Sus scrofa: one gene and its partners. The protein of the gene in region 1 purifies or fractionates together with the protein of each later gene. This does not show direct contact. Links are inferred from orthologs where the notes say so. Each region holds a gene or a part of one and is shown in the gene's direction. Other genes may lie near its edges. The genes, in order: DAXX, CBX5, BAZ1B and HIPK2.

Evidence for each region.
Region 2: the proteins of DAXX (region 1) and CBX5 purify together in Homo sapiens (affinity purification with mass spectrometry; 3 studies listed by BioGRID and IntAct, with this or other methods). This does not show direct contact. The link is inferred for Sus scrofa from reciprocal best matches to the Homo sapiens genes DAXX and CBX5.
Region 3: the proteins of DAXX (region 1) and BAZ1B purify together in Homo sapiens (co-immunoprecipitation; 3 studies listed by BioGRID and IntAct, with this or other methods). This does not show direct contact. The link is inferred for Sus scrofa from reciprocal best matches to the Homo sapiens genes DAXX and BAZ1B.
Region 4: the proteins of DAXX (region 1) and HIPK2 purify together in Homo sapiens (affinity purification with western blotting; 3 studies listed by BioGRID). This does not show direct contact. The link is inferred for Sus scrofa from reciprocal best matches to the Homo sapiens genes DAXX and HIPK2.

What each region holds. Positions count from the first base shown.
Region 1 is NC_010449.5:29,676,242-29,683,869, reverse strand, and holds DAXX (death domain-associated protein 6), read left to right. Parts: upstream 1-2,724; 5' UTR 2,725-2,857; intron 2,858-2,928; exon of another isoform or gene 2,929-2,953; intron 2,954-3,389; exon of another isoform or gene 3,390-3,726; 5' UTR 3,727-3,778; coding exon 3,779-4,012; intron 4,013-4,152; coding exon 4,153-4,984; intron 4,985-5,104; coding exon 5,105-5,319; intron 5,320-5,478; coding exon 5,479-5,713; intron 5,714-5,853; coding exon 5,854-6,328; intron 6,329-6,484; coding exon 6,485-6,707; intron 6,708-6,803; coding exon 6,804-6,863; 3' UTR 6,864-7,016; downstream 7,017-7,628. UniProt on the Homo sapiens protein: Transcription corepressor known to repress transcriptional potential of several sumoylated transcription factors. Down-regulates basal and activated transcription.
Region 2 is NC_010447.5:19,455,642-19,462,812, reverse strand, and holds part of CBX5 (chromobox protein homolog 5), read left to right. Parts: intron 1-2,841; coding exon 2,842-3,028; intron 3,029-6,225; coding exon 6,226-6,326; intron 6,327-7,171. UniProt on the Homo sapiens protein: Component of heterochromatin that recognizes and binds histone H3 tails methylated at 'Lys-9' (H3K9me), leading to epigenetic repression. In contrast, it is excluded from chromatin when 'Tyr-41' of histone H3 is phosphorylated (H3Y41ph).
Region 3 is NC_010445.4:10,838,786-10,846,601, reverse strand, and holds the start of BAZ1B (tyrosine-protein kinase BAZ1B), read left to right. Parts: upstream 1-2,683; 5' UTR 2,684-2,822; exon of another isoform or gene 2,823-3,053; 5' UTR 3,054-3,064; coding exon 3,065-3,171; intron 3,172-7,816. UniProt on the Homo sapiens protein: Atypical tyrosine-protein kinase that plays a central role in chromatin remodeling and acts as a transcription regulator. Involved in DNA damage response by phosphorylating 'Tyr-142' of histone H2AX (H2AXY142ph).
Region 4 is NC_010460.4:10,132,262-10,139,432, forward strand, and holds part of HIPK2 (homeodomain-interacting protein kinase 2), read left to right. Parts: intron 1-448; coding exon 449-609; intron 610-2,070; coding exon 2,071-2,529; 3' UTR 2,530-7,171.

The sequences.
Region 1 (7,628 bases):
GACTTGATCAAATAGCATAAAGATTGTACACATATTCATAATGGTTAAAATAAAAACTACATTTAGGAGTTCCCATCATGGCTCAGTGGTTAACGAATCTGACTAGCAACCATGAGGTTGCGGGTTAGATCCCTGGCCTCGCTCAGTGGGTTAAGGATCTGGCGTTGCCGTGGGCTGTGGTGTAGGTTGCAGATTCTGCTCAGATTCCGTGTTGCTGTGGCTCTGGTGTAGGCTGGCGGCTACATCTCCGATTAGACCCCTAGCCTGGGAACCTCCACATGCCACAGGTGCGGCCCTAGAAAAGACAGAAAGACAAAAAAGAATTACATTTAAAATGAGATAAGCAGGAACTGCCTGGAGGCTTAGTGGTTTAAGGATCTGGCATTGTCACTGTTGTGGCTTGGGTCGATACTGTGGTGCAGATTTGATCCTTGCCCCTTCGAATGTATGCATGCTGCGGGCAAGGCCAAAAATCAAAATAAAAAAATGAGACAAATGATATTTATGATACATTGATGAAAGAAACAGGCTACATGTCTCTTCTTTATTTAAGACAAGGTAAGATTATCCCCAGGAGCTTTCATGGTTGAGAACTATTCTTGCATTTTTTTTTTTTTTTAAGGAGAAAGTTGGGGGGGTTCCCTTTGTGGTGCAGCGGAAACGAATCCGACTAGGAACCGTGAGTTTGTGGGTTCAGTCCCTGGCCTTGCTCAGTGGGTTAAGGATCCGGCATTGCCGTGAGCTGTGGTGTAGGTTGCAGAAGCGGCTCAGATCTGGCGTTGCTGTGTGGCTGTGGTGCAAGCCTGCAGCTACAGCTCCAATTAGACACCTTAGACACCTAGCCTAGGAACTTCCATATACCACTTGTGGGGTCCTAAAAAGCCAAAAGATCAAAAAAAAAAAAAAAGATGAAAAAAGGAGAAAGCTGGAGTTCCCGTCGTGGCGCAGTGGTTAACGAGTCCAACTAGGAACCATGAGGTTGCAGGTTCGATCCCTGGCCTTGCTCAGTGGGTTAAGGACCCGGCATTGCCGTGAGCTGTGGTGTAGGTCGCAGACACAGCTCGGATCCGGTGGTGCTGTGGCTCTGGCATGGGCCGGTGGCTACAGCTGACTGGACCCTACATATGCCGCAGGAGAGGCCCTAGAAAAAAGGCAAAAAGACCGAAAAAAAAAAAAAAGGAGAAAGCTGTGTGAGCGTGACCTTGGGCCAGTCACCTGACGTTTCCTCAGGTTTTGGTTTTTTTTTTGTTTTTTTTTTTTTGCTTTTTTAGGACCGCACCCCGGACTTAAGGAGGTTCCCAGCCTAGGGGCCTAATTGGAGTTTCGGCTTCCAGCCTACACCAGAGCCATAGCAACACCAGATCCCAGTGGCATCTGCGACCTACACCACCGCTCACGGCAACGCCGGATCCTTAACCCACTGAGCGGGGCCAGGGATTGAACCTCATGGGGACTAGTGGGGTCTGTTAACCACTGAGCCACTACGGAAACTCTTCTGCTATATTTTAATAAAATTTATCTTTAAATGTGCAACAAGAAAATAAAGTGGCAAGATGCCCAACATTTGTGGAGTATGCAGGGATCCAAGAGGTGGGAAACTCAGCGACTGGACCGGTGTTAACTTTTTGGTTTCCCCAGAAGTTCACCTTTGGACCCAGCTTTGCTTCCGTGAGTCCCTCCAGCTTCCCTAAAGCTGGGCTAGGTGGGGGTCCAGGCGAGGCGGGCGTCAAAGTTGGTTTCTTCTCTTTTTGTTCTTTCATCAGCACTTCCAGAAGAAAAGACGAGACTCCGAGGCCTTTTACGAGCCTCATTTCGTCTCACAGTCCATACAGCGGCAATCTGCAGATTCTCCTCAGAGCCTCCTCCTCCTCACAACGCCCGTCCTCAGGCCCTGGAGCTTCTGGACAAAGCCCGGCCTCCCGGCCATCATCGCCTCCGCCTCGGGGACCTCCTCCAGAAAAGACGTCGTAGAACCACCTAGATTCTACCTACTTGGTTGGCCAATAGTTCTGTAGTGGAAAGCAAACCAGCAACAATAACAATAATAATAAAACACATTTGTACAGCTCGTGGTGCTCATTTGTATCCCGTGTTAGGACTTCGCAATTGGGCGAAGTAGGCACCTGTCGGTAGAAGTAGCAGCTGGACAGCGAAAAGGAGAGCGGGCCCATAGAAGGGAATGGCAGGTACAGTCGATTAAGCCAGGGAAACTGGTACCTGGCAGGTAGGAAATCGGCGCCAGAGGGCTTGTCAATAGCGCCGCGGATGGAAAAGGTTTTATTTTCCTCTCAAGAGGCTCCCCCCATTCCGTGCATCCCTGTGCAGCCTCGGAGGGCTCAATTCCTTTGCTGCTCTGTTCCGTACCCCCCCCCCCCCCCTTGGGAAGGTGGCTCTGTCCTCCCCGCACGCGACGCGCTGGCGGTTGGCCGGCTGCGGGAAGCTTCTGATTGGCCGAGTCGCAGAAGCACCGGGTGAAAAGAGCTTCACTGGCGGCGCGCCCCCACTCGGGGCGTAGCCAACGCCGTACGGGAAAATGGCGGCCCGCATGTACCTTGAGAGGCCCCGAATGGGGGATGGAGGGGCGCAAATCCGCCCCCTGCAGGTCAGGGAGAAAGGCGCCTCAGACTATGTGGGCGGCACTGGAGGTGCTCGAGGAGGCGGGCCTACTGTCACTTCCGGCCACTGGGGAGACTGGGATCCGTACGGCAACATGGCCGCACCCAGGAGCCTGTAGGCGGAAACTCCGCCGCTTCCGGTCCGGAGTAGGGCCTGCGGTGGGAGGGGGAAGGAAGGCGGAGGGAACCATGCGAGGTTCTGAGATCCGCGGCGAGTGTCGCCTCGAGAGACCGTTTCTGAGGTGGGGCCGGGCGGTGCGGGGGGCGAAGGCGGGGCGGGAATGTCGAGGTCGAGGTACTCGGGAGTCCTGGGCGTTGAGTCTGAGGGGCAGGCTGAGGTACCTTCCTTACTATCCCTGAAGGGGTGTGGGGGGGCCGGGGGCTGAACTGGGGGAGGGGGACTTGGCGGGAAGCTCCTCCGGGGGCAGGGCCGGCCTCAGGACTAGAGTGTGAGAGCAAGCAGGAGAGACCAGTGTGGGGCCCACGGTCGCTTACAGGTCACACGGAGAGAATGGGGAGGCTCGGGTTGGTGTGAGAGAGAGGGGACTGGAGCCGAGCTATCTCCGACTGCCGCCCCGGCTGGAGGAGACCCACCGGAGGGCGGGGTAGGGAGGTGGTCTTGGCAGGAGAAAGGGGAGTGGATGTGGGGAGGACCAACCCTCGCCTCGGAGAGGCTGGGAGTTGGGGTGATCCTACAGGACGGGGCGAACCTGTGGGAGAGCGGAAGGGGGACACGGGGAGGTGGTGCCAACGAGGGTGTGGTATCTGTTCCAGGGGGTGTCGAGGAAATCTGGAGTGCAGTGTGAGAGGTGGTCCGGGGTTGAGAAGAATCAACTTGCCACCTATGAGAAATAGTGGGGAAATGCAACCGAAAGACCGGATGTCGACGTGAGGGGTGGAGCTGGGGGTGGGACTTCAGGTTTTCCGAGGGTTTGGGGCTCTCGTAGTAAAGGGACAGAAAAACACGGTACTAATGGTTGCTGAAGACAGGCAGTGAGGACACTGTTGGGCATGGCTGGGTGTTTTTGAAAACCAAGAAGACAAAAATGTGTGAGATGAAGGGATGGGGCTCTGCTGGAGGGGCTCTTTCTGAGGCCCCGTCCCCTTCCAGCAGGAATCACGAAAACCCCACCACTTCCTCCCTCCGGGGGATTTGATCCCCCATGGCCACCGCTAACAGCATCATCGTGCTGGATGATGATGACGAAGATGAAGCAGCTGCTCAGCCAGGGCCCTCCCACCCACCCCCCAACCCAGCCTCACCCAGGGCAGCCCCCATTCCAGCCTCACCCAGGGCAGAAGCCCCTGGCTCCTCCCAGCCCCATGGGGCTGGAGGAGGCAGTAGTTCGGGCGGCAAGAAATGCTACAAGTTGGAGAATGAGAAGCTGTTTAAAGAGGTGAGCTTTAGGGGAGAGGATTCTTGTACTCCAGGGAGGGGGCTGGCCGACTGGCTCTCTTGTCTTGTCTTCCCCACTAACCCCACCTCGCCTTCTTTCTCTCAACCCATCCCTTGTCCCTTTCCCCGTGAACCTTCCAGTTCCTTGAACTGTGTAGGAGGCAGACAGCAGACCACCCTGAGGTGGTCCCGTTCCTCTCTAGCCGGCAGCAGCGGGCCCACTCACTGTTTTTGGCCTCGGCGGAGTTCCACAACATCCTCTCTCGGGTCCTTTCCCGGGCTCAGAGCCGGCCCGCCAAGCTCTATGTCTACATTAACGAGCTCTGCACTGTTCTCAAGGCCAACTCGGCCAAGAAGAAGATGAACCTGGCCCCTGCTGCCACCACCTCTAGTGAGCCCTCCGGGAATGACCCCCCCACAGGCCCCTCCTCGGACCCCATAAATGCTGAGACCACTGCCTCTGAGGCCCCAAGGACCCGTGGTTCCCGGCGGCAGATCCAGCGCTTGGAGCAGCTTCTTGCGCTCTATGTGGCAGAGATCCGGCGGCTGCAGGAAAAGGAGCTGGATCTCTCAGAACTGGACGACCCGGACTCCACTTACCTGCAGGAGGCCAGACTGAAGCGTAAGCTGATCCGCCTCTTTGGGCGGCTGTGTGAGCTCAAAGAATGCTCTTCTCTGACGGGCCGGGTCATAGAGCAGCGCATCCCCTACCGGGGCACCCGCTACCCGGAGGTGAACAGGCGCATCGAGCGGCTCATCAACAAGCCAGGGCCTGATACCTTCCCTGACTATGGAGACGTACTTCGGGCTGTCGAGAAGGCAGCTGCTCGGCACAGCCTTGGCCTCCCCCGACAGCAGCTCCAGCTCATGGCTCAGGATGCCTTCCGAGATGTGGGCATCAGGTTGCAGGAACGTCGCCACCTCGATCTCATCTACAACTTCGGCTGTCACCTCACAGACGACTACAGGCCAGGTAGGCCTTAGCAGGGTCTCCCCAGTCCCTTGGTGTGTTGGCCTATGCTGGAGGAAGCTCTCTGGAGTCCCTCCTTCTAGGATTCTGGGTGAGTGCTCTGACCTATGTCTTCCCATGCAGGTGTCGATCCTGCCCTGTCAGATCCTGTCCTAGCCCGGCGCCTGCGGGAGAACCGGAGCTTGGCTATGAGCCGACTGGATGAGGTCATCTCCAAATATGCAATGATGCAAGACAAGAGTGAGGAGGGCGAGAGACAGAAGAGAAGGGCTCGGCTCCCCCAGGCCACCTCTGCCCACTCTGCAGAACCCCCCAAAGCCTCCTTGGATTCTGGCGAGGTATGGAAGGGCCACACCCTTGAGAGAGACCCTGTCCTTCCCCTGCACTGGCCAGGAGGGAGTCCTTGGGACTGATGGCGGAGTGTGCAGAAGGGATGCAAGAACCAGTCCCTCAAGGGGGCAAGGGATTCCTTAGAGAAACTCCTTTGTCCCCCGAAGGGCCCTAGTGGGATGGCCTCCCAGGAGTGCTCGACCACTTCCAAGGCTGAGACAGATGATGAGGAAGATGAGGAAAGTGATGAGGAGGAGGAGGAGGACGAGGAAGAAGAGGAGGAGGATGAGGAGGAAGACGAGGAGGCCACAGATTCCGAAGAAGAGGAGGAGGATCTGGAACAGATGCAGGAAGGTCAGGGGGACGATGAAGAGGAGGAGGAGGAGGAGGAGGAGGAAGCAGGTATGTCAGGAAGACAGTCTTCTCGTGTGTCAGCTCCCTCGACTGTTGGGCACCAGCCCCATCATCTGAGATCCTTCCCATCCTCTCAGCACTTCTCTTCCCCTAGTTCTTACTCTATCCTCTCCTCTTTTCTTTTCCAGATAAGGATGGAGATAAGAGCCCCATGTCCCCACTACAGATCTCCACTGAGAAGAACATGGAGCCTGGCAAAGGGATCAGCAGGTCTTCAGGGGAGCAGCGAAGCAAAGCACTTGGGGTGTCGCCATCTTCACTGTCAGAAGAGCCCCCGGCCCCCTCCAGCATTGATGCTGAAAGCAGTGGCGAGCGTCTTGAGGAGTTGCCCCTGGAGGAGGAGAGCCCTGCGTCTCAGCTCTTTGAGCTAGAGATTGAAGCCTTGCCCCTGGATACTACCCCGTCCCCTGAGGAGAGGGATGTGTCGTCTTCCAGGAAGCCATCCGAGGAGCCCCTCACCACTGTCCTGGAGAACGGAGCAGCCATGGTCACCTCCACTTCCTTCAATGGCGGTGTCTCTCCACACACCTGGGGGGACTGCATTCCCCCCTGCAAGAAATCTCGGAGGGAGAAGCCAAGAGAAACAGGGCCATTAGGAAACAGGTAACTGCACAAGGAGGAGCAAGAGGGAAGCCAAGGAGGGCCTGCGGGGGGCTTTCTGAGGGCACTGTTGCGGAGCCCAGGCTGCTGGGAGAAGTGGACGCTGCCTCGCAGCCTCAGGCTGCCCTAAGCCTCCACACCATACGTTTCTGTCCTCAGCTGCGTGGCAAGGCCAAGGGCAGTGCGAGAGAAGGAGGGGAAGAGGACGCGGGCCCTGCCCAGCCCCCCTTCCCCCTTGGCCTCCGTGGCTCCGGTTGCTGACTCCTCGACCAGGGTGGACTCTCCCAGCCACGGCCTGGTGACCAGCTCCCTCTCTAGCCCATGTCCAGCCCGGTTGGCCCAGAACCCCCAGGCCCAGCCCTCCAGACCCAGTACCTGTAAGGTGAGAGGGGAAGCTGTCCCCCGACTCGGTTCCTGGCGCGCCCACCGCAGCCCTCCCCTCCGCCCCGGGCCGTGCTGACCGTCTCGCTCCCCGCAGATGAGTGTGGCCACGCAGTGCGACCCCGAGGAGATCATCGTGCTCTCGGACTCCGACTAGCTGCCCCCGCGCTCCCTGCTCCACTGCGCTCGGGACAGAGGATGGAGGCAGGAGGCACTGAGCTGGTCCCCGTTTGGTGGTTTCTTTTAAAAACACAAAGCTTAAGTTTTACACAGAAACATTAATAAACAATAAAGTTCTTTTCTTATGGTACCCATGTCTTCCTTGTCTTGCCCTGGCGGCTGTCTAGTCTCAGGCCTGGGACGGATGGACCCCGCGCCCTCCGCCCGACTCGAGGCGGACTTTACTTTCCCACTCGGGGCGGCCAATCAGGGGGCCGACTCGGAGTGAGTCGGCCAATCCAGGCCTGTGTGGGGCGGGGCTTGGGGGACTGTCAAGCTAGGAGGCCACTGCGAGGAGATCCCACAGTCCCGCTAATGACCACAGCACAGGGGCGGGGCCAGGCGGCGAGGGCCTGGACTCCTTGCCACTGGGAAGAGGCAGGCTTACGGAATTAAAGGGGAAGGAGAGCCTCGGCCGAACCGTGTCCTGAGCCCCCAGCGGCGGAAGAGACCCGGTACCTTTAAGATGGAATGAGGCCGTGGTTCGTTAAAGGAGAAGTGGCCGAGTCGGCCGAGTATTGCCCAGCGGCTCGGGCGGGGTGCCGGCTTGTGCCTTTAAAGCCGGAGAGGCGGGAGGCGAAGCGGAGGCGGAGGGCGGAGGGAGTCGGCGCAAGATGGCGGCGGGAGGGGCCCGGGCTGCGGCTCTGGCCGCCGAGTGAGGGGCGGGGGGCCCGGGGGCGCGCGGCCCGGTAAGCGGGGACGC
Region 2 (7,171 bases), on another chromosome or scaffold:
CCTAGGGTACTAGGAAATAGGAATTTAAATACACCTCAAAAAAAATTTTTTTTTTTTTTCCCTTTTTAGGGCTGCACCTGAGGTATATGGAGTTTCCCAGGATAGGGGTCAAATCAGAGCTGTAGCCATCGGCCCATGCCACAGCCACAGCAACGTCAGATCCAAGCTGAGTCTAAGACCTACACCACAGCTCATGGTGATGCCAGATCCTTAACCCACTGAGAGAGGCCAGGGATCGAACCCACACCCTCATGGTTCCTAGTCAGATTCGTTTCCACCACACCACAATGGGAACTCCTCACCGTAAAATTTTAAAGGTGTTTATTTGGCTCATTGTATCACCACTGGAAATTCCTGGGCATTTTGAAGACTTTCAGGACTATATAATTGAGCTCCAGGTATCTTTCACAGATAGAAGAGGAAGAAAAGGTTTAGGGTTGATGGATTAAACATTTGTCCTTACTTTGTCAGAAATACCTGGAGTTTCATTTAAGACTGCCCCAGCAAATTGTGCCCCTTCAGCCTTGTCTACAACTCAGTACCTACTGCTCACTAGGCAGTGGACATATTCTATTTCATATGTCTCTTGAATTCTCATAACAGCCTTTAGAGGTATTTTCAGTTTATAGATGAGGAAATTAGTTGTTTGCCAAAAGTAACATAACTGGTAAATGCTGAAACAAAGATCCAGCATCAGATTTCTTTGGTGTTAAAGCCCAGATTCTTTTTAAATTATACCGTGATGTCTTTTGGGTGAAAAGTGGTTAATGTAGACACAGCAAGATACAAATATGGTGGGAAAAGGGATAATCTCATTTAGAGGACTGGCTTTCCTTGCTTGAACCAGAGACTCTCCTACCTCCACATCTGCTTGCTTATTGTGCTGCAGTGTTGGCATGCCTCTTGATTTTGGCACCTTAATTTCTTCTGGGATAGTAAACTATATAGTTTGTGGATTTGGGGGGAAAGTTATTGTATGAGGAAGATTTTTTTTTTACCGAAAGAAGAGCTATGAGGGAGAGGCTTTTCCAGTTTGGAAATAAATTTTGTCTCATTCTGAAGCTCTTTTTGCAGAAAGTTGAAGTCTAGAGTAAATATCTCAGATTTTTCTATTCTGCTTCTTATTTGAGTTGAGTTTTTATGGCGTTTGTTCGAACCATTTCTATCTAAAGATACCTTATTTAAAAAAACAAAACCAGGTGTTCCCATCGTGGCGCAACAGAAATGAATCTGACTAGGAACCATGAGGTTGTGGGTTCAATCCCTGGCCTCACTCAGTGGGTTAAGGATCTGGCATTGCTGTGAGCTGAGGTGTAGGTCACACACATGGCTCAGATCTAGCGTTGCTGTGGCTCTGGCATAGGCCGACAGCTATAGCTCCAATTAGACCCCTAGCCTGGGAACCTCCATATGCCACAAGTGTGGCCCTAAAGAGACAAAAAAACCCAATAAAATAACTAAAATATATAGTGCATAAATGTGAAAAAAAAAATTCTTAAGTCATTGAAGGGATTATAGAAACTGCTTCTATGATATCTTTACAAAGTGTCTTAACATAGCTAGTTCTGTTTTCCTCATAGTACAATTCCCTTGATCCAAGTTTAGTTAGATATAATTATTGAGTTTGTATTTTTTTGTGCTTATCAGTCTAAAATGTATTTGGACTACCTAGAGACGATAGGCTTGAATCCAGAGCTTTGAACTAATGCAGTCAAAATTCCAGTTTTGAATCTTTTCCTTCTAATGGTATGCCTACATTGTAATGCTTTAAGCCCATATTGCTTTTTTTCTAAGTATTTTCGATCTTCTAATAATTTGTTGACATTTCTTCAAAATATAAGTCACATATTTAGGATAATATAAACTGGACAACGTATTAGATTTTCCTCTCCAGGATTTGCATAGACGATTATATGTATGAAATCACATTATTTTGCCACTTACAGAGCAGAACTCATATTTGAGTTTTTGTTTTTGTTTTTCCTTTTTATGGCTGCACCTGCAGCATATAGAAGTTCCTAGGCTAGGGGTCAAATTGGAGCCACATCCGCAACCTGCACCACAGCTTGCAGCAACGCCATATCCTTAACCCACTGAGCGAGGCCAGGGATTGAACCTGCATGCTCATGAACACTGTGTCCGGTTCTTAACCTGCTGAGCCACAATGGGAACTCCCAATGTTTGAGTTTTTAATAGCTTTATTGAGACATAGTTTATATACCATAAAATTCATTTATTGGAGTTCCCGTTGTAGCTCAGCAGAAATGAATCTGACTAGTATCCATGAGGATGCAGGTTCGATCCCTGGCCTTGTTCAGTGGGTTAAGGAATCGGTGTTGCCGAGAGCTATGGTGTAGGTTGCAAACGTGGCTCAGATCCCGAGCTGCTGTGGCTGTGGTGCAGGCTGGCAACTGCAGCTCCAATTTGACCCCTAGCCTGGGAACCTCCCTGTGCCATGGGTGCAGCCCTAAAAAGCAAAAAAATAAAAAAGAGCTTCTGGAGTTCCCTTTGTGGCCCAGTGATAACAAACCCACCTAGTATCCATGAGGACATGGGTGCCATCCCTGGCCTCAGTGGGTTAAGGATCTGGCGTTGCCCTGATCTGTGGTGTAGGTCACAGACGCAGCTTGGATTCTGCTGTGGCACAGGCCAGCAGCTACAACTCTTGATTTAACCCCCTAGCCTGGGAACCTCCGTATGCCGCAGGTGCAGCCCTATAAAAACAAAAGAAAAAAGAAAAAGAATAGCGCTTCTTTTCTTGCCTACTTGTCTTCTTTAAATAAGGCATTGGATTCCCCCCCCCTTATTTCTTTGCTTTTTTTCTCCATTCTTCTTGCCCAGGGAGCACAATACTTGGGAACCTGAGAAAAATTTGGATTGCCCTGAGCTAATTTCTGAGTTCATGAAAAAGTATAAGAAGATGAAGGAGGGTGAAAATAACAAACCGAGGGAGAAGTCAGAAAGTAACAAGAGGAAATCCAATTTCTCCAACAGTGCTGATGATATCAAATCCAAAAAAAAGAGAGAGGTAAGCTTTATTTTCCTTTTTCCTCAACAACCTATTTCTTCTGCCACTGTGGCTCCCCCTTCCCCCCAAAAAGGGCATTATTTTGGTTGTTTCCCTTCTCTGGATGGCTACAAGGTAAATTGTTGAACAATAGAGCGTCCAGGGAGATATGTTGATTGACTACAGCGCCCCCTCCTGACTGAGTGAGGAACATAATATGAGTCCTCTAAATTGGGGTTAAGGTGGGAAAATGAAATCCTTGGAAAACATCTCATACTCTGCCTTATTCATGAATACAGGCAGAGTTATCTTAGAGTCTTTGGTGAATTTTGTAAGGATAGAAAGGAACTTTAAAATGTCTTACCATTTCACTTTTTTCTTTCGTGCCAAAATTAACACTTATTTTCAACCCTTTATAATTCTCTGTCTTTTAAAATTAAGGTGAAATCCACAGAACATATAGTTTACCATTTTGAAGTGTACAGTTCAGTGGCATGTATATTCCCTTCTGATCCTACTATGTTTTTACATTAAATAAGAAATTAGTTTTCATTTTCCTTTTGGATGTTTTTATTGTTCAGTTTGGAAAGTATGTTTATGAAATTTTGGTTTAATTCAGTTGCTTTGATCCTTCTGATCTTTAGCTCTCAAGTAACTAGCCATAAGCACTATTATTGCCTCTCTTCTTTTTTCATTTATATCTTTTCCATCTGTACACACATATACAGATAACCCACCTCCCCAGCTTCTACTGCTTTCATTTATTTCAAGGCTGTGAAGCCTTTTGTGGTGAAAGATGTATCATACCCTTAAAGTTTAATAAAATAAAAGCATAAGTCTGCTTCTGAATCTTGTAGTGTCACTGCCATAAACATCCCTATTTATCTTCGTTTTCCTTGGATACCCATGTTTCTAGAGCATCAGTTCTGAGCCCTGGCTGCACATTAGAATCACCACAGGAGGTTAGGGGACAATGCTTCAAAAAACTCCACTGCCCAAGATAACACCCCAGACTAATTAAGTTCAAATTTCCGTGGATTGGACATTGTCATCAGTGTTTTATAGAGACTTGCACAAGTGATTCCTGACCTCCAGAGGAGAGAAAATGGGAGACCAGCTTTCCAAAAAGAATGGAAATAAGAGTGAAAGATTGGAGGCTCCCAGTGAAAGTGGATTCTAGGTTTTTGTCTGTCTCCTTATTTGTTTCCATGATTAATTTTATTTTTTACAATCTTATTTTTAAAACTGCCCTGTTCTGATGAGGTGTGTATAACATTTGATATAGTGTACTGATAAATAATTTGAGAATGCCTTCTCTTCTCTAAGGAGCTAAGATTTGATTCTTTCTTTTTTTTTATTAGTCCTTTGTATTTTGGTTTTGTCATTTGATTCATTTTCTAGCTAAGTAAAGAGACTGAAAAACAACACAGCATAAGACCTGTATAGCCATTTGTGACATATAGTTTGTATTTCCTCAACTTACAGTTTCTCTCCTTTTAAAAATGAGCAATCTGACTTTGAGCCACTGGCCAGTGTAGAGAGTTTCATTCCTAGGCCAGGTTCTGATGCTGCTGACCTTGAAAACCACCCCCACATGTCCCTTACATTGTAATGTTCATCTGGGGCCCCTTGACAGCATTCTCAGCAGTGCTGGCGGCTGTCAGGTAGGCAGCTGGGAAGATGGGTGATTGTGTGTTTTAAGGGTGCAGGAGGGGATTGCGTTTCTTTCTTTAGACCACTGCAGAAGAAATTTGTTAGTCGGCATTATGCCTGATTTAAGATTACTGCCTGTGTGATGATTTTAGCATTTTCCTCGCCTCGGCTCCTTTTCAGCATCTCGAACATTTTTCTTTCCTTCCCTCCCTATGTGGCAAACTGTTTTCAGCCGCCAGCTATGATTTACGACTCAGTTCGTGCGCCAGCATTCCAGCTGTGAGCAGCTGTGTGCACATCTGGGAACCTCCTCCTTTTAAGCACCCCCAAAAGAGGCTATGTTTTTAAGTCTGTATGTCCCCTGATCCATGCGTGGAATTTCCTTCCCAATGTTGGATTCTGGTATCTTTGGGGACCACCTGGACGCTGAATGCTTTGTATCTCAGAAGAAAGCAAGGCGAATATCAGAGCAAAGAGATTTTATTATGAAAATCAGATATCAGAGATTTAGTTCAATTGGGCAGTCTTTCTAAATCTTTTTTTGTATTGACACTAAATAAGCTTGCATTATCTTCCATAAAAAGGTTTTTTTTAATTACCTGGTTTGTATAAAATTTCACCATTTTGCTCTCACAAGTGGCAGCACACCTGAATCAGACTCTAATGCTCCTTGTCTGGACTGCGTGATTATCGTTTGACCAAGTCTGAATAATTCCTTACAGAATTATCAGTCTAGTTCTGCTCTCTTTTTTTATTTTTGTTTTTTTCGGGGGGCTTTTTTTGGCTGCAGCAAGCAGCAGCTTAATGTGGGATCTCAATTCCCAGACCAGAGATTGAACCTGGGCTGCAGCAGTGAAAGCGTGCGTCCTAACCACTAGACTACCAGGAAAGTCCCCAGTTCTGCTCTCTAATGCAATTGATCTATCCCCTTCAGGAAGGGATAGACATAGACCAGGGCCTCTTCCCCAAATGTGTGGGTGTTACAGTATGTGAGCTCTGAAAAGAAATTTTCTGTTTTATGATAATGCCTTGAATTATCCTTATCTCTGTTCTTCCATAAGCATAGATGACTCTGGGAAAAGAAGTATTAAAAATATTGGTCAGTGTTAGGTGAACTAAAAGTCTAAAAAAATAAAGATTAAGAGGTTTTATATTTGAAGTTTATAAAATGAAAAAGGGTTTCTTTCAGGTAACCCCTGTGGACTTGTTTATCAACCCAGAAGGAACAATTTAGCAGTAGTCCATTTATAATAACAAGATTAAATGAGGGGATAGAGGATTTTCTATATGATGACTCCAGAATATTTTAAAGGATATTAAATAGTTTTAGGGGCCACTCCAAATCCTTTGAAGGAATACTGGAAGGACAGCTGCAACTTCCTGTAGAAATATCTCTGTCACTGGCTGATGCAGTATTGTATTTAGATCCTAAGAATTTTATGAATTGGTGACAAAAGTGATATCTAGTGATATTAACTTAGGTTGTGCTTTGTTGAGCTGAGAAACGGGAAGGTTTTTTGACTGTTATCTCCAAGCTGTAACCTTTCTTCATCTTCTATTTATAGCAGAGCAATGATATCGCTCGGGGCTTTGAGAGAGGATTGGAACCAGAAAAGATCATTGGGGCGACAGATTCCTGTGGCGATTTAATGTTCCTAATGAAATGGTGAGAGAGATTGGGCCTCACTCTGCAATTGTGTTTCTTTGCCAGTGACTTGAATTTGTACGGAAGATAGGGAGAGAAGACTGAGTAATTTTGATTAAGAATTTTGATCGTCAGGGAGCTAAATTTTTAGCTGATACCAACTGTCAGTATTAAATGGGAATTATAGTTCAGAATGGATTTAAGACATTTGAAAGCTTTAGTATTAAGCCAAATTATAATATATTAGCACACATACTAATGTGTAGATTTGAGGTAGGAAACATATAAACATGACCTAACCATTTAATTTACACAGTTGTGAATCATTTACCATCAGACCACGAGCCTGTGGCCATGGAATAGGAATTGAGTGAGGCTTTCTGCCATCACTGAGGACCAAGACCACTCAATAATGTCTAAAAGAGAAGAGTAATCTCAACAAAAAGCATTAAGAATAATACTGGCCAAAGCACAAATTATTTCATCCGGTAGAGGGAATGGATCTTAGAGGAAAGTATAGTTACTTCCCCTCAATTTGGTTTCTTAAAGACAGAGTGATTTATAGTGTGGCCCTCACTACCTCTCTATTTCCAAGTGTTCTGGGCTTGTAATTTAAGTTTGGTCTCTAAATAGAGAGTTCATGCTACAGTGCCACTAAGGAAGCTAATTACCTTAGAAGTTGTATAGTCAAGAGGTTTAATATTTTATCTGATCGAAATTTTGTTGGTAAATTACCCAGAAGTCTGTATTTGAAGAATCACTATACTCTGTCTGCATAAGGAGCTGTATTGACTGCTTTTCCCACTCAGCCATATGTGGTACTTATGATTTACATTCACATGTTAACTAGCTTTTTCCACCACAGT
Region 3 (7,816 bases), on another chromosome or scaffold:
ATATTCCCCAACATGACCAGAGTATCATTATCATACCCAAGAAATTTAACAGTGACGCAATAATATTACTTAAAGTGAACATATTCAAATTCCCCCGGGGTTTCCCTCATGGCACAGTGGAAACGAATCTGACTAGGAACCATGAGATTGTGGGTTTGATCCTTGGCCTCGCTCAGGGGGTTCAGGATCGGCTGTTGCTGTGAGCTGTGGTGTAGGTCGCAGACATGGCTAGGATCTGGTGTTGCTGCAGCTGTGTTGTAGGCCGGCAGCTACAGCTCCAATTTGACCTCTAGCCTGGGAATCTCCATGTGCTGTGGGTGTGGCCCTAGAAAAGGCAAAAAGAAGAAAAAAAAAAAAAAGACAAGAAAAAAAAAATTTCCCCAACTGCTCCAATAATGTACTTAATAGTAGTCCCTCCCTCCCCACCAGGATCTAAGCTCAGGTCACATGTTGCATTTCTCTAGTCTCCTTTTAGAACCTTTATTTGCGAGGTGGGTGGAGAGGGATCTTTCATGTCATTTACATTTTTGAAGGGTACAGGCAGTTGTTTGCAGAATGCCTCACAACCTGAATTTGTCTATTTTCTTTTAAGGGTTTCAGGTTGAGTGTTTTTGGTTAGAATACTGCGGAGGTGATGTATACTTCTCATTACCTGACATCACAAGGCAGAAATTGTCAGCTTGTCCCACTATCAGTGATGCCAAGCTGGATCACTTGGCTAAAGGTGGTGTCTACACCTTGCCTACGCCCCTCAAGTCTGGCATCTGTCTGTACTGATGTGGTTCAACATTTGAGTCCCTTGCCATCACTGCCACAAACCACTGCAATTCTTTTTTTTTTTTTGTCTTTTTAGGGCCACACCTGCGGCATATGGAGGTTCCCAGGCTAGGGGTCCAACGAGAGCTGTAGCTGCTGGCCTACACCACATCCACAGCAACTTGGGATCCAAGCTGTGTCTGTGACCTATGACACAGCTCACGGCAACATGGGATCCTTAACCCACTGAGCGAGGCCAGGGATTGAACCCAAAACCTCATGGTTCCTCGTTGGATTCATTTCTGCTGTGCCACAACGGGAACGCCTGCAATTCTCTTCTAAGCAGTCACTTCAGTTGAGTCCTCACAGGCTATGGCTGGGATGATGACTTCCTTTGCCACTCTCTTGACTTGATACTTTCTGCCTCAAATCCATATGTCTGAGGAGTTCCCCGGTGGCCTATTGGTTAAGGATTCAGTGCTGTCAACTGCCGTGGCTCAAATTCGATCCCTGGCCTGGGGATTTCTGAATGCCATGGATGCAGCCAAAAAAAAAAAAAAAAAAGAATCCCTATGTTTGAGACACATTGTCCTCAATTTACCAAGTCCGCCCTGCTGCTCCCTCTGCCTAGGATGTTTGTTTCTCATTTTTCTGCCTAGTGAAGTGCTACTTATCCCTTTACAATCAACTCAAATGCCACATCCTCTGACAAAGTTTCTCCTAATCCTCTTAAAAGAAATGGCTCCTGAAGGAGAATGAGCACTCTTCTCTGCTAGGTCTTCAGAGGAGGCGTCTGACCTAGAACTTACTTTTTACTGGGGAGTGTCCTCACTTTCAAGGTGAGAAGAAAAGGAGAAAAGGGTCTGGCACCGGCATGCCTCCATTTAGGGACAACTAGCAACCAGGGAAGGTACATTCTGGGGCCAGTGAAGGTTTCTGAATCAAGGGAGATAATTTAATAGCAAAGAATGATTAATAATTATGTTTCTGATTGTATGGGTAACCTAACAGATTTTGAACTAAGTGGGAGTAGTCTGCTTGGAGAAGCAGCTTAACTGTTCTCACTCTCTAGGTGTAGTTACCGCTGTTTTCTTACTGCGCACTTTGTACAGCACTCATTACAGAGAACTGTGATTATTTGTGTCTTATTTTTTCAGGAAGTCTCTGTCTTATTTTTTTCCCTATGGTACCCAACGCAGGGTCCTGAACCCGGCAGGCGCTAGTAAAGACTATTTGAATGAATGAGTGTATTTTTAATAGCCATATCCTTTAATGTATTTTTCTAAAGAAGCTTTGATACGATCCTTTCCAGCAAGCCACTAGAAACATCGTATTAATATCCACATCTCAACCACGCTCTCATCCAGAAGTTAACTTTGGGGTGAGCAGGGTTGGGCCTCAGGTTATGCCTCAGTCGAACCTTTGCGGGGCAAAGTCTCGGGGTTACTTCCCGCCAACCCCTCCTCCCATCCGCCCCACCCGCGCATCCCCGGGCGTGGCTGAGAGCGGCGCCTTTAAGAAGGGGGCGGAGCACGAGTGGGAAGACAAAGCCCCTGGCCGCGCGCTCCCCCTCCCCCCTCCGGCGCACCGCACGGACAGTGGTGCCCGGATGTCGGTGTCGCCTTCAGTGACAGATGGCGCAGTGTCTGTATATGTTAGAGGGCTTCTCTGGCCTGACCTGTTTGAATTCCTGGCCTTTCGGTGCCCCGCTATCCCCCACTTTCAACCCTGCCGCTGGAGGCCCGCACTTCTGTCACCGGCGCTTACATAACTTGACCTTTCACCTCTTCATACTGCCCTCTAGTGCGCTGCAACCCAACTAGGCAGCCCGGGAAGGGGGCGGGACCCAAGGGCCGAGCGGCAGCTCCTCTGAGCCAATAGACTCTGGGAGCTGACCAGCTCTCAGCCTATTGGAGCATTCGCCACCGGCGCCACAGGGGAGCAAGTTAGTGTGTGCGCTGGCCGGGCGGGGGGGAGGAGGGGAATCTCCCGCCATTTTTCAATAATTTCCTCCGGTGCAGCTGAGGACGCGTCGTGACTGCTGAACGCTGGGACCCGTAGCGAAGGTTGGCCGGAGGCTTCGGGGCGGTGCGGCAGTGTGCGTGGGAGTTCTGTGCCTTTGCGTCCCGTTCCATGGCCCTCGCGCGGCGGCGCTGGCCCTGAAGGAGCCGAGTTCGCGCCGCCCTCTCACCCCTCCCCTCCCCCACCCCACCCCGGGAGCCTGGCGCTTGCTCCCGGCCGCGGGGCCTAGTGTTGCGCCGCAGGCTCGCCGAGAGCCTACGTCTTCCCCTCCGCAGACGCCGCCGCCATGGCGCCGCTCCTGGGCCGCAAGCCCTTCCCGCTGGTGAAGCCGCTTCCAGGCGAAGAGCCGCTGTTCACCATCGCGCACACTCAGGAGGCCTTCCGCACCCGGGAGTATCCTTTTCCAGCCGCGCTGGCCAGGCCGCCCGCGGGGTGGGGTGGGGCGGGGTGGGCCGCGCAGCCCCGGGCCAGTGGCAGCTGTCAGCGCGCCCGGCGTCGGCGGGCCTGCACCCGGAGCTTGAGCCCGGAGCCTGCAGTTCCGGGGGCGGGAGGGCCGGCTGGCCGGCCGGGTTCAGGCCGCTCTGGAGCCCTGTGCCCTCCATCCTTTCCCGGACCCCGCATTTTGTCTACGGGCCTCGCTGTCGGTGAGCGATCCTCCAACCAATTTCCCAGGGGTTTGGTTTTAGGCCCTAATTAGCAGGAGAAACTGGGTTTCCTTTGCTGCTGCTTTTTTTCTTAAGTTTTGGGGATTGTACTCGCGCAGCTTCGTGATCTTGGTGATGCGTTCTACGTCAATCTCTGCAGGGGCATTTGTGTTTTGCTCCCCCCGTGTGGACTTTAGGGTGGTGATGGACTTACTGGTGATTTTCCAGACTTAGAGAAAAAGCAGGAAAAAGTTACCTTGGAGGAGCGGATGCTTTTCTTCCCTGGGTATGCACAGATAAGGAATTTTGACGGTGTACAGCAGATAGGTATTTGTCTTCTAACAATATTTAAAAAAATACCAAGACACGCTTAAAGTTTTTATGCTGTGCTTGAGGAACGCGAGGCTGATGTTTTAAGTACGAAGCATCTTTCTAATCATTGCTTAAGATTTCTTTCACAAGCTTTATTTGTCTTGTAGTTGAAGGTCGTACAACTCTTACTTTTTTTTAATGGATGCCAGCTAAATCCTTTATGAAGCTTAAGTGTAAACAAGATTTCTGAATCAAGCTTTCTTTAGTGAATAGAAAGCTTCAAGAGTGAAGGCTAATGTATTATTTAGTTTTATCTCCCCCTTCCCTTTGGAAGAACTTGATTTCTTAGTAGTTTGCTTGCCTCGGTATAGGAGGAAGCGCCAAGTGTGAGCCATATCATTTGATTTCATTTCTCTTTGATCTTCTCTTTAATATGATGCTTTACGGGGTAACCTCGCTCTTGTGTGAGTGCAGATTGTGGATGTTAGGTGTTTAGTACAGAGGGACTTGGAAAGTGAGTCTGTGCTTTAGGAAGGCTCTTGAAATGTAACTGTAGCATCTCAGAGCTGAAATGGATCTTGGAGATGGTGGGTTCTCCTGCCAGAGTAGGCCAGGTGGGCCCAGACAGTTGAGGCCGACTTGTTAAGGTCATACACTGAATGATGAGAGTCAGGAGTAGAATCCAGTGCCGGTACCTCATCCTTGTAAGTAAATCAAGGAAGCAACATGAAATGTTATTCCTTCACTTTTAATAATCTTTGTCCATTGTTTGTGTCAGTTTGTGGTATAAGAGAAAGCGCATTTAAGGGGGTCGTAGGAGGAATAGTCTGGTTCTTTTTCTTGTTCTGTTAGGACTTTAGATTGTTTTGGAGGAGTGCTCTAGCTCTACTAAATACAACCCTGTTTTAAAAGTGATCTACCTTTTTTTTTTTTTAATAACATTCCAAAACATCAGTGGAGTAAAAAATTCCTTCTGGGACTATGCCATATCCTTTTCAAATGTCAGCTTTTGAGCACCTGATGGTTATTCATACTAATGTTATTGGTTATTAATTTATCAGGCCTGGTTCTAGTGGAGTATAAGAATCTGCAAATTAATCTCTACTCTATGAGACAAATTCTAAATCTGTAATAGGCACTGAGCTCTGTAAAAAATGACGAGATAGCTAATTTCGAACTGGCAGCCTAGGCTTTTTCATATCATTTACTGAAATCGTTGAACTGTGTATGAAGAATTTCTTTAAATGATGACAGTTGAAAACTGAAAGGTGAAACTTTTTAAGTGGTAGGTATTTAATAAAAATTCCTCATCTTTAAAATTTCCCATGCCAGTATTCTGAACCCTTTTTACAAAGGAGTTCTTAAACTGTTACATATTTGGGGGGAAATTGCTCCCTTTGGAATTTCTTCTAGTGGAAGCACTTTGAGGATGGTTTTTAAAGCAGTTGTGCTATGTGGTTGCCAGATTGACATATTTCTTTATTAGGCTATTAGGGATTTCATAGAGGAGAACAAGTATGCGGTTAGGTAACTGCTGCATTTGAAGTATTTCTATTACTTAATTTATAGTTATAATTATGTTTTTAATAGGATTTCATACTCTAATTTTCTCCTAATACCTTCCTCTTGATTGTATATATATTCTGTAGCAAATTTGTATGATATTTTATTGACTTACAGCTCTGAGCATTGTGTTCTTGCAGGTATTATTGTACATCGTCACTAAACTTACAGTGGTAGTTGTGAATGATGCACATATTTGATAACTAGATTTATATATTGATAATTATGTTTATTGTACAGTAGCTCAATCTATGGTACATTGCTTCCTAGAGTAGTACTACAGGCAAGACACCAGATCTTTTTTTGTTTTTGTTTTTTACTTTATGGCTGCATTCAAGGCATATGGAAGTTCCTGGGTCAGGGTTTGAATTCGAGCCACAGCTGTGACCTGAACCACAGCTGCAGCAATGCCAGATCCTTGGGTCCTTAACCCACTGCACTGAGTGAAGGATCCAAACCATCCAAACCACACCTCTGAAGTGACCCAAGCCGCTGCAGCTGAATTCTTAACCCACTGCACCACAGCGGGAACTCCAGGACACCATATCTTAGCTGGAAAAGTTAACTTTACCAGATTCACTTCTTGATGTAATTATTTGAGAGTAGAACTCCACACTGACTGTATTTAAGTTGATGGATTTTAAGGAGGAACTGAACCTATGTGTAGTCTGCTGTAGATTAATTTGTGGTTGTTGTTGTATTGTTTTAACTATTTTAGTTTTTAAAGCATAGAAACTAGTTTAGCGTCAAGGTAAGAGAATTTTCAGGTGGTGTAATAAAGAGTGGCTGTTAGAATATACAGCTATTCTGGCTCTAGGCGAGAATAACTTGATTTGCCTAAGAAAAACCCGACTAGAGCTTTTTAAGAGCTGAGGCAAGACAGGATTTTATTGGACAGTTGGAATACTGAGCAAGATTGTCTGTTGACTTGTATAATTTAATTTCTTTAAAGTAACAAGTTATTCCGCTTTAGAGTTATTTTTAACTTAATGACACACTAGTCCAAAGAGAGAAAATAGGATAAAAAGCAGACCTTGAGTTGGTGTTTGTCATCCATTTAGAACTCTTAGGGTTATAGTTATGCATATTTAACCTCCATACTTTTCTGGGCCACTTCCTTTCAGGCTATCAAGTACTTTATTGAAAGAAACAATCCTTAAAAGGCTAAAGAAAACAAAGAAGCAGCATATTGTGGTAAGGAGAGAGTTCTTGAACTCTTGAAAAAGTAGATGCATGATGAGATAGTCTAGGATTTGAAATTATCTTATCATTTATAGCTTACACAACCTTTGGAGAATTGGTTTGACATTTTGTCTGCAATTATAAGTGCAGCAATCGTTGGGACATAAAAAGCTCAGTTGGCATTTGCTCTGAGCGGTTATTTGAGAGTGAGTGACTTATATTGGTAACCTAAAATCTGAAATAGGATTTAGAGGCAGCTAACTCAGTGTCCTTCTAGTGGGCTTTTTTTTCTCCTTTCATTTTCAGTTTTTCTGTAGCTTTTCTCTTACCATAAGTCAAAGCAATAACCAGGACAGATTTACATAAACTTAAAAATATGTAGTGTAAGCGGTTGTAGAAATTTCAGTTTTTGACTTTGAAATTAATCTAATTTGAATGACTAGTCAGTTTAAAATTTTGTATTAGAGGACATTCATTCCTAGATGTAAACAGTGGGTTTATAGTGCTGTCCAATAGAAATATGTGAGCCACATGTAATTAAAGTTTTTCTAATGGCCAAATTTGAAAAAAAGGAAACTGAGTGGGGAAAAAAAAAAGGCACATTTTTCTTATTCCAAGACTCAGGTTGAAGGAGTAGTCCCTGTCTGCAGTGTCCTTTTCTAGAGACAGAAAGATCTGGAGGAACCCATGATGACTTTTTAGGCTTCTTCCTGGAGGTGGTGTCTATGGCATCTATTGGTCGGAGCAAGTCAAGTGGCCAAGCCCAATATGGTTGGGAGGGATATGCAGTCCTTTTCCTGGGAGGCATTTGCAAGCCACGTGGCAGTGGACGGAGAGGTAGACTCTTTTTCTGGAAGGGAGGTGGATATTTGCAAAGAAAGTGCGTCTGCCACATTTTAGGGTTAAGGGAATGTTTCCTGGGGAAAGTTACTTTTAAGATGTGATCTAAAGCATGGTTAGAATTTAGTTAGATGAAGAATAGAGGACTGTGTCCTTTGAAGAGTTTGTAATTTTGAAGGCTCCTGATCTTTAATTTTTTGAAATTTTTTGTCTTTTTAGGGCTGCGCCAGTGGCACATGGCGGTTCCCAGTCTAGGGGTTGAATTGGAGCTGCAGCTGCCGGCCTTCGCCACAGCCACAGCAATGCTGGATTCGAGCTGCATCTGACCTACACCACAGCTCATGGCAATGTTGGATCCTTAACCCACTGAGCGAGGCCAGGGATGGAACCTGTGTCCTCATGCATGCTGGTCGGGTTTATTAGCCGCTGAGCCACAATGGGAACTCCTGCTTGCTTTTTTTTTTTTTTTTTTTTCAAAAGGGCTGACCCTGCATATG
Region 4 (7,171 bases), on another chromosome or scaffold:
TAGGCCCGCAGCATAAGGAGGTTCCCAGGCTAGGGGTCCAGTCAGATCTGTACCTGCCAGCCTACACCACAGCCACAGCAACGTGGGATCTGAGCCTCATCTGCGACCTACACCACAGCTCACGGCAACGCCAGATCCCTGATCCACCGAGCGAGGCCAGGGATCGAACCTGCGTCCTCATGCATACTAGTCAGATTCGTAACCTGCTGAGCCACAACAGGAAGTCAGTACCAGGTAGTCATTCTCAAGTCCAGCGAAATTTGCTCCCAACCAGTGGAAGGAGCCGCAGCCCCAGGCCAGCCCTGGGTCTCGGAGAGACGCAGGAGTGGTGGCCAGCAGCCTTGGGAATGCCTTCTAGGGAGACCACGGCTGTCCCCCGAAGGGTAGGGGGTTCTGGGCAGCTGAGGACCTGTGACTGACCTGTGACCCTTTGCCCTTCCCAACACAGTCAACACCAGTCACCACTCGTCCTCCTACAAGTCCAAGTCCTCCAGCAACGTGACCTCCACCAGCGGTCACTCTTCAGGGAGCTCGTCGGGAGCCGTCGCCTACCGGCAGCAGCGGCCGGGGCCACACTTCCAGCAGCAGCAGCCTCTCAACCTCAGCCAGGTAAGGCCGCCGTGGCCGGCCCAGCATGGGTGTGCCCCTCACCCTCAGCTGCGGAGCGGACCCCTGCCCGCCTCCCGCGGCCATGGCCCCTCCAGTGGTGGCAGGAGGTGCCCCAAGCGCCCCCTCATGTTCTGCTGGGATCTTCTTGGGGGAGGTGGCACCCCGACTCACTGAGTGCCAGCCCAAAGCAAACTGACTTGTCCGCTGTTCGGAAGCCCTGAGCGACAGGGTGCCAAAGCTTAAAGTAGACAGGCCCGCAGTTTGCTGCGTGAACCCGACAAAGGATAAAGTACCGCCCCGACCCAGTCGGGTCAGAACACCAGGGATGGGCCTCAGTCTTGAGCAGGCAGGCCCCACCGAGTCCTTGTGAGGGCTCCTCCTGCCCGGAACCCCAAACCCAGAAAAAGACAGAGGCTGGCGGGGCGTCGTGGGGTGTCAACAAGGGCGCTGCTGGGCCCGTGTGCAGAGGGTCCCTCGGGGCTGCACTGCAAGGTGGACTGGAGGCCGGATTCCTCAGAGCTCGGGGCTGAGATGTGGGGCAGTTTGGGTGGAGCAGCCCCTGGGCTGTAACCCGAGGCCTTGTCCGTCCATGTCAGCGTGACTTAGGCTCTGCGGGAGGGACGGAGGGAGGGTTGCCTCGTTTGTGGGTCTGACTTGAAACAGCCAGGTTTCTGAGAGCCTGCGACTTAGGGAGCAGAGCTTCACGGGGAGAGAGAAGCAGCAGGCTCTCCAAGAGGAGCTCCTTTTGACACTTCACAGCGGCCAGGTGGCCTTGGGTGACCGTGGGGTGTCTCCCGTTCCCGTAGCTGCTGGCTCTGTCTGTTCCCAGCCTGGGAACAGCTGGGCATGGCCTGCCTTCTCCAGCCCAGGCCGGTTGGTGCGCTCCCAGCCCAGGAGGGAGCGTCTTCTGTTACTCTCCCCCCTCCTCCTTCGCTCCCTCCTCCCCCCTCCCTCCTCCCCTTCTCGCCCTCCCCCTCCTCCCCCTTCCCAGCCTGTCCCCCCCTCCTCCCCTTCACTCCTCCCCTCCTTCCTCCTCCCTCCCTTCCCTTTCTCCACTTTTCCCTCCCTTCTCCTCCCTCTCCCTCCTCTTCTCTCCTCATTTCTCCCTCCTTCTTACTCCCTCTTCTCCTCTTCCTCTCTTCCTCCCATCCCTCCTCCCCCTTCACTTCCTCCCTTCTTTCTTCCCCACCCCCCACGTCTCCATCTCCCCTCCTCCCCCTCCTCCCCACTCCCTCCTCCTCCTTTTCTTTCCTCCCCCTCCTGCCCCTCCCCCACCTCCCTCCTCTCCCTCCTGCCCTCTCCATATCTCCCTCCTTCTCCCCTTTCTCCTCCCTCTCCTGTCCCTCCTCCTTCCTCCTCGTCTTCCCTCCCCTCCCCGCTTCCTCCTCCCCCGCCTCCTCCCCCGCTCTCCAGCGCATCGAGCCCCCAGCACAACCTCTCCTGGTGCCTCTCCTTCTCCAGGCTCAGCAGCACATCACCGCAGACCGCGCCGGGAGCCACCGACGGCAGCAGGCCTACGTCACTCCCACGATGGCCCAGGCCCCATACTCCTTCCCGCACAACAGCCCCAGCCACGGCGCTGTGCACCCGCACCTGGCCGCTGCCCACCTCCCCACCCAGCCCCACCTCTACACCTACACGGCACCCGCGGCCCTGGGCTCCACCGGCACCGTGGCCCACCTGGTGGCTTCCCAAGGCTCCGCGCGTCACACCGTGCAGCACACTGCCTACCCAGCCAGCATCGTCCACCAGGTCCCCGTGAGCATGGGCCCCCGGGTCCTGCCCTCGCCCACCATCCACCCGAGTCAGTATCCAGCCCAGTTTGCCCACCAGACCTACATCAGCGCCTCTCCAGCCTCCACCGTCTACACTGGATACCCACTGAGCCCCGCCAAGGTCAACCAGTACCCTTACATCTAAACACTGGAGGGGGGATGGCCGCAGGGGAGGAGGGAGAGGAGGAGGGACCGAGGGGGGAGCTGGTCCTTCTATACTGAAGACGCCGCACATGAACAATGCAAACGGGCCGGGCTGGGCAGGGGGCAGGGGGCAGGGACGGGACGCAAACGAAACTTGAACTAGGAAGTGGGAGGACTGAGCGTGGAGAAGAGAACATTTTAAGAAGGAAGGGATTTAAGGAGGGGGGGAAATCTATGCTTTTTATTTTAAAAAAGAAAAAAAAAGAAAACGTCAGTACAAAAAAAAAAAAAAAACACCACAGCTCACGAACCCATTGTGCACCAAACTGGAAAGGAGAAGAATAGAGCGACGGAAGATTCCAGAAGTGAGGGGGGTGGCCTCAGCTTTTGAAGAACTTGATGAACTTCTCAAAGATTATTTTCACATGGCAGCAAGTGACGCTTACGAATTTGCTGTCAGGGACACCTGATATGGAAATCCAATAGATTTTTAATGCGTGAACGTAAGAATTAGGGATTTTTCCAGAACTCTTTAAAGGGTCAGCAGCCGTCTGGAAAGGTCCAGCCATGGCCTGAGGAGGCATATTCGGGGGCTGGCCTGGGGTTGGCGAAGCCCGGTTCTGGCTCACCTGCCAGGACGGACTGGGGGGGTGGCGGCGGTGGCGGCCGGGGGGAGGAGGACCGGAGAGGGTCCAGTGTTTCCATTTCAGTCTCTTTCTGAGCATTCTGGATAAATCCCTAAAGCAGTGATATTCCGCCAATGTCATTAATAGTGTGTGTTGCAAACTCCAAGGTCGGTTTTCTTCTCCGAAGATTTCTTTTCTCTTCCACTCCGTCCCTCGTCCCGTTAGCGCAGGGTCGAGGCCTCGGCCGAGCCCTCGGAGATGTAGCAGCCTGCACCCGTGTGTCGTCCTTTGTGTTCACCCCCGACGATACCAATAGACTTTGCCTCAGTGCAATTGCACAACAAGAACGTGATCTGACGTGGGCGTGTGCGCACGTGGCGCGCCCTCCTGCCCCGGCCCGGCCGCCAGCTCTCGCTGTCTTGGTTTCACATCTGTCCCTCCTAGTGCCTTACCGACCGTCGGACGCGGCGTGAGGGTTTACTTCCGCGGTCCTCCGCGAAGCCGGCCGAGGCGAGCCCCGCCACCTCAGCCCTTCTTCTGTGCTGTTGTACCATTTTCCTCTGGTCTGGCCTTTCCTTCTTTTGGTTTGGTTTGGTTTTGGCTTTTTAAGTTTCTCTTTTATCTGAACCCCCGTTGTCTTTCCCGGGCTGTTTGCTAGCAGAGGGGTGTCGGGAAGCTGGCAGGGGCCAGGAGGAGCCCCGGGATCTGGAGAGAGAGGTGGGGGGCCCTGACGGTGGTAATGGCTTTAGATGACCTCGGAGACGCCGCAGGAGAGACTCCCCACGCGGCACCCCCACCCCATTCTGCCACAGGGGCCCAGCCCTGCCATGTGCGGGCCTAGAGGGCCCATCTCTGTTTCAGGAACGTTGGCCTTGCCAGGCAGCTGCCTCCTTCCTCATGCAGAAGGGGCAGAGGACAGGAGCCCGCCTTCCGACTCCAGGCCCAGGGCTCCCTTCCCGTGGCTGCCTGCAGGGTGGTGAGGGGGCCTGGGGCCCAGCCCCACGTTCTCAGACGCACCTCTGCTTCGCTCTCTCAGCGCTGCCTGCCTCCCTCTCACCTCTGGTTCCACCGGCTGTGCTTTGCTCTCACGGTTTTGCCAGATCCTTCCCTCTCTGGACAACCAGGAACCGGTGTTTGCTGCTGAATGTGTCCTCCAGTTCCCCGGGCCTGCCAAGGCCCACTTCGGCTCTTGGTTTCCGGGGGCCTGATGAGCAAAAGGCTGGAAGGACACTTAGGAGGGTGACGGGCAGTCAACGTTTTCCAAGGATATGTGCCCTTTGTCCTCTTTGCACCTTCAATACATTCTGGAAATGTCAGACTTTGCACACTGGTGGGGGTGGGGTGGAGAGGGCTCTACCTACAGCAAATTATTCCTGAACACATGCACGTCGGGAGGCTCCATCTGGTCAGAGATAGGATGTTCAAAGTGTGGTCCTAGTGGTTTTTTTGTTTTTTGCTGCCGAGTCCTTAACTGACCCCAAAGCCAAGTTTCCAAGGTGCAAAGAGATCACTCCCGTTTCAGTCTGCGGCCCCCACTTTCCCTCCTCCCTGTACAGGCCCCCTCAAGGATCTACTGTGAAAGGTGTTTTGTACCACGATGTCTGACCTAACTCAGTAACGAAACCCAGCCCTTACCTTAGCTCTTAGCTGTGAAATATGAAGTAACTCTGGAAATGTCCCCTCTCCTCCCGTAAATTCTGCTTCGCCTACACAGCAATCGGTCCCCAGCTTGAAACCAGCTTAGGCCGGAAGGAAGGAAGGACACCACCACCCACTCGGGAGGGGCACCCCCGGGCCGAGCCCGTGGTACCCAGCGGGTGGACAAGGTGCTCCGCTCGCCTCGGGGGAGCAGGGGCCGAGACCCATACCAGATCATCCAGGCGCGAGGACGTGCTGTCATTCTGAGACAACAGGAAAGCGGCCCCTCCGAGCGAGGGGCGGGGGGAGAAAAGTCTTTGAAGGATGCGCTAGACAGGGCCTTCCCAGAGCCAGCCCGCCGGGGGGCTCATCTCTGTTCTGGACTTTGGGCATCCAGAGGGCAGCAGTGCCCCGTCGGATCTCCCCTCGCCCGGTGACCCGGGTACAGACGTCTCCGCTGCCCACGAGCCAGCATTTTTGCCTTATTGGGTAGCATCCTGAGCCCCCCTGTGTGGTTCCCTTCGAGCCGGTTTCTAGATCTTATCTCTTGCCAGCAGAGACAACACAGCCTTCCCTTTTAAGAGAATGATTTCGTCGCCTCAGCTGGAGATGATGCGCTCGCCTGACATCATCTTGCCCTTTCTTCCAGATCAGGAATGAAAGTTCCATGCTGCTCATAAAGAGAATATGATTTGTATGGATTGTCTTGGTTATTAGCATTGTAATGACTCTCATAATCCTCATTTTGGTATTTTAGTTGGGATTTTAAATGCCCATGGTGTTCCAGGTATCTTTGTGTTTTCTCTTGACTATTTAAGTTTATTTTGTTCTATCTGTGAGTATCTGAGTAGACAGGCGGGACATCCCGATGTCCGGTTTTGTCAGACCAAAAAAAAGAAAAGAAAAGAAAATGATCCAGGAATTAGGAAAAGGCTCTCGAGAAAGATACACCACAAAACAAGGTTTGAAGAAGAATCAGGGCCTTTATCTCTTCACAGGCCAAAAGGCCACGTTGGGCTCTGGCGACACGGGCCCCATCCACACTGTGTTCTCCTAGGTGCTCAGTGGCCTGGGAGGAGACCTGAGAAGATGGGCTCGGGGGTCCCTGGCTGAACCTTGAGCCGCGGGTCCGTCCCACGTTCCCTGCGCTTCTGCAATCTGACAACTAGATCCTGGGCCTGCCTGAAATCTGCTATTTACCTGTCCAGCAAAAAAAGTAAAAAACAAAAACCTCTGCCCAAGCTGACCCAGCTCCTTTCCCAAATGCTGCCCCCCCTCCACCCCCGTGTCCCATCAGCACAGCCGGAGTGTGGCGTGCGGCACGCAGCCTTCAGTGCGGAGACAACTTCCCCTCCTAGGAGCCCTTGAAGGTAATGAGCTGATGGAAGGTGCCAGGCAGGTGGTACCACTCTGCCTCCTCCTTCAGGCCCCCTTCCCCACCCCGACCCCATCTTCTCAGCACATGATTCCAGGGACAAACTATGGAGCCAAAAAAAAAAAAAAAAAAAATTGGTGGAGGGATAGTAGGAGGCTAGAGAAACACTGACCCAAGTCCAGCAGCTCCTTGGACACTCCGGCTGCTGCTCCCCCAAAATTGATGGCCCACATGCTGCTCCCCAAACCTAGAAACTACAGGGCCTGAGATGAAGGAAGATTTGGAATGACTGGCTTCCCTGGAGTTAATGAAGGGGACCTCAGGCAGTGGCCAGCCCACATTAGCGCCCTCCCCAAGCACCCCATCCCCAACCCCTCCTCAGCCTAAGCCCCAGAGCTGAGGGGTCAGAAGCCCTAGGGAAAGACCCCAGTGGGAGAAGCCAGCCTCTGCGTGTGCTCTCACCCCGTCCTCTGAGTCGCCCTGGCAAGTAGGATGGATAAAGGGCTGCCAGCCCCTAGGACCCAGCTCTCAAGTAGAGGGATGCCAGTGGAGTCCTTGTTAGACCACAGATAACCTAGAAGGCCACCTGCTCTGGAGTTAGCTCCGTCTTTCTTTACTGAAGAAACGTGGCTGAGGCTAAGAGGGAAGAAAGGAAGGTCCAGGAGAGTGTCGTAAGTGGAGCCTCAGAAACCACAGGTGGATTGGCTTCTGCTCCGTGGGGTCTTGCGGACCCATCTGGGTCTTTGCGGCCGTCTAGGTGCTTAGTGCCTATTTGGTGATGTTTTGGCCATTTCTAAGGGAAGGGGTGAGCCAGCTGATGGGTGGGAGGGTCTGAGGCTTGATGCCAGTGAATACTGTCAAGTGGAGCATGTGGTTTGTGGGGTTCAGAGGGAAGGAAGGGTGGGGCCAAACGGACGGTTGTCTCCTGGACTGGATTTGCGTTCTGGCCTTACTGGCGGTGGGTGGCCGGCAGGCTGTGGTGGCCAGCTGGCCTTGTCCTCCTC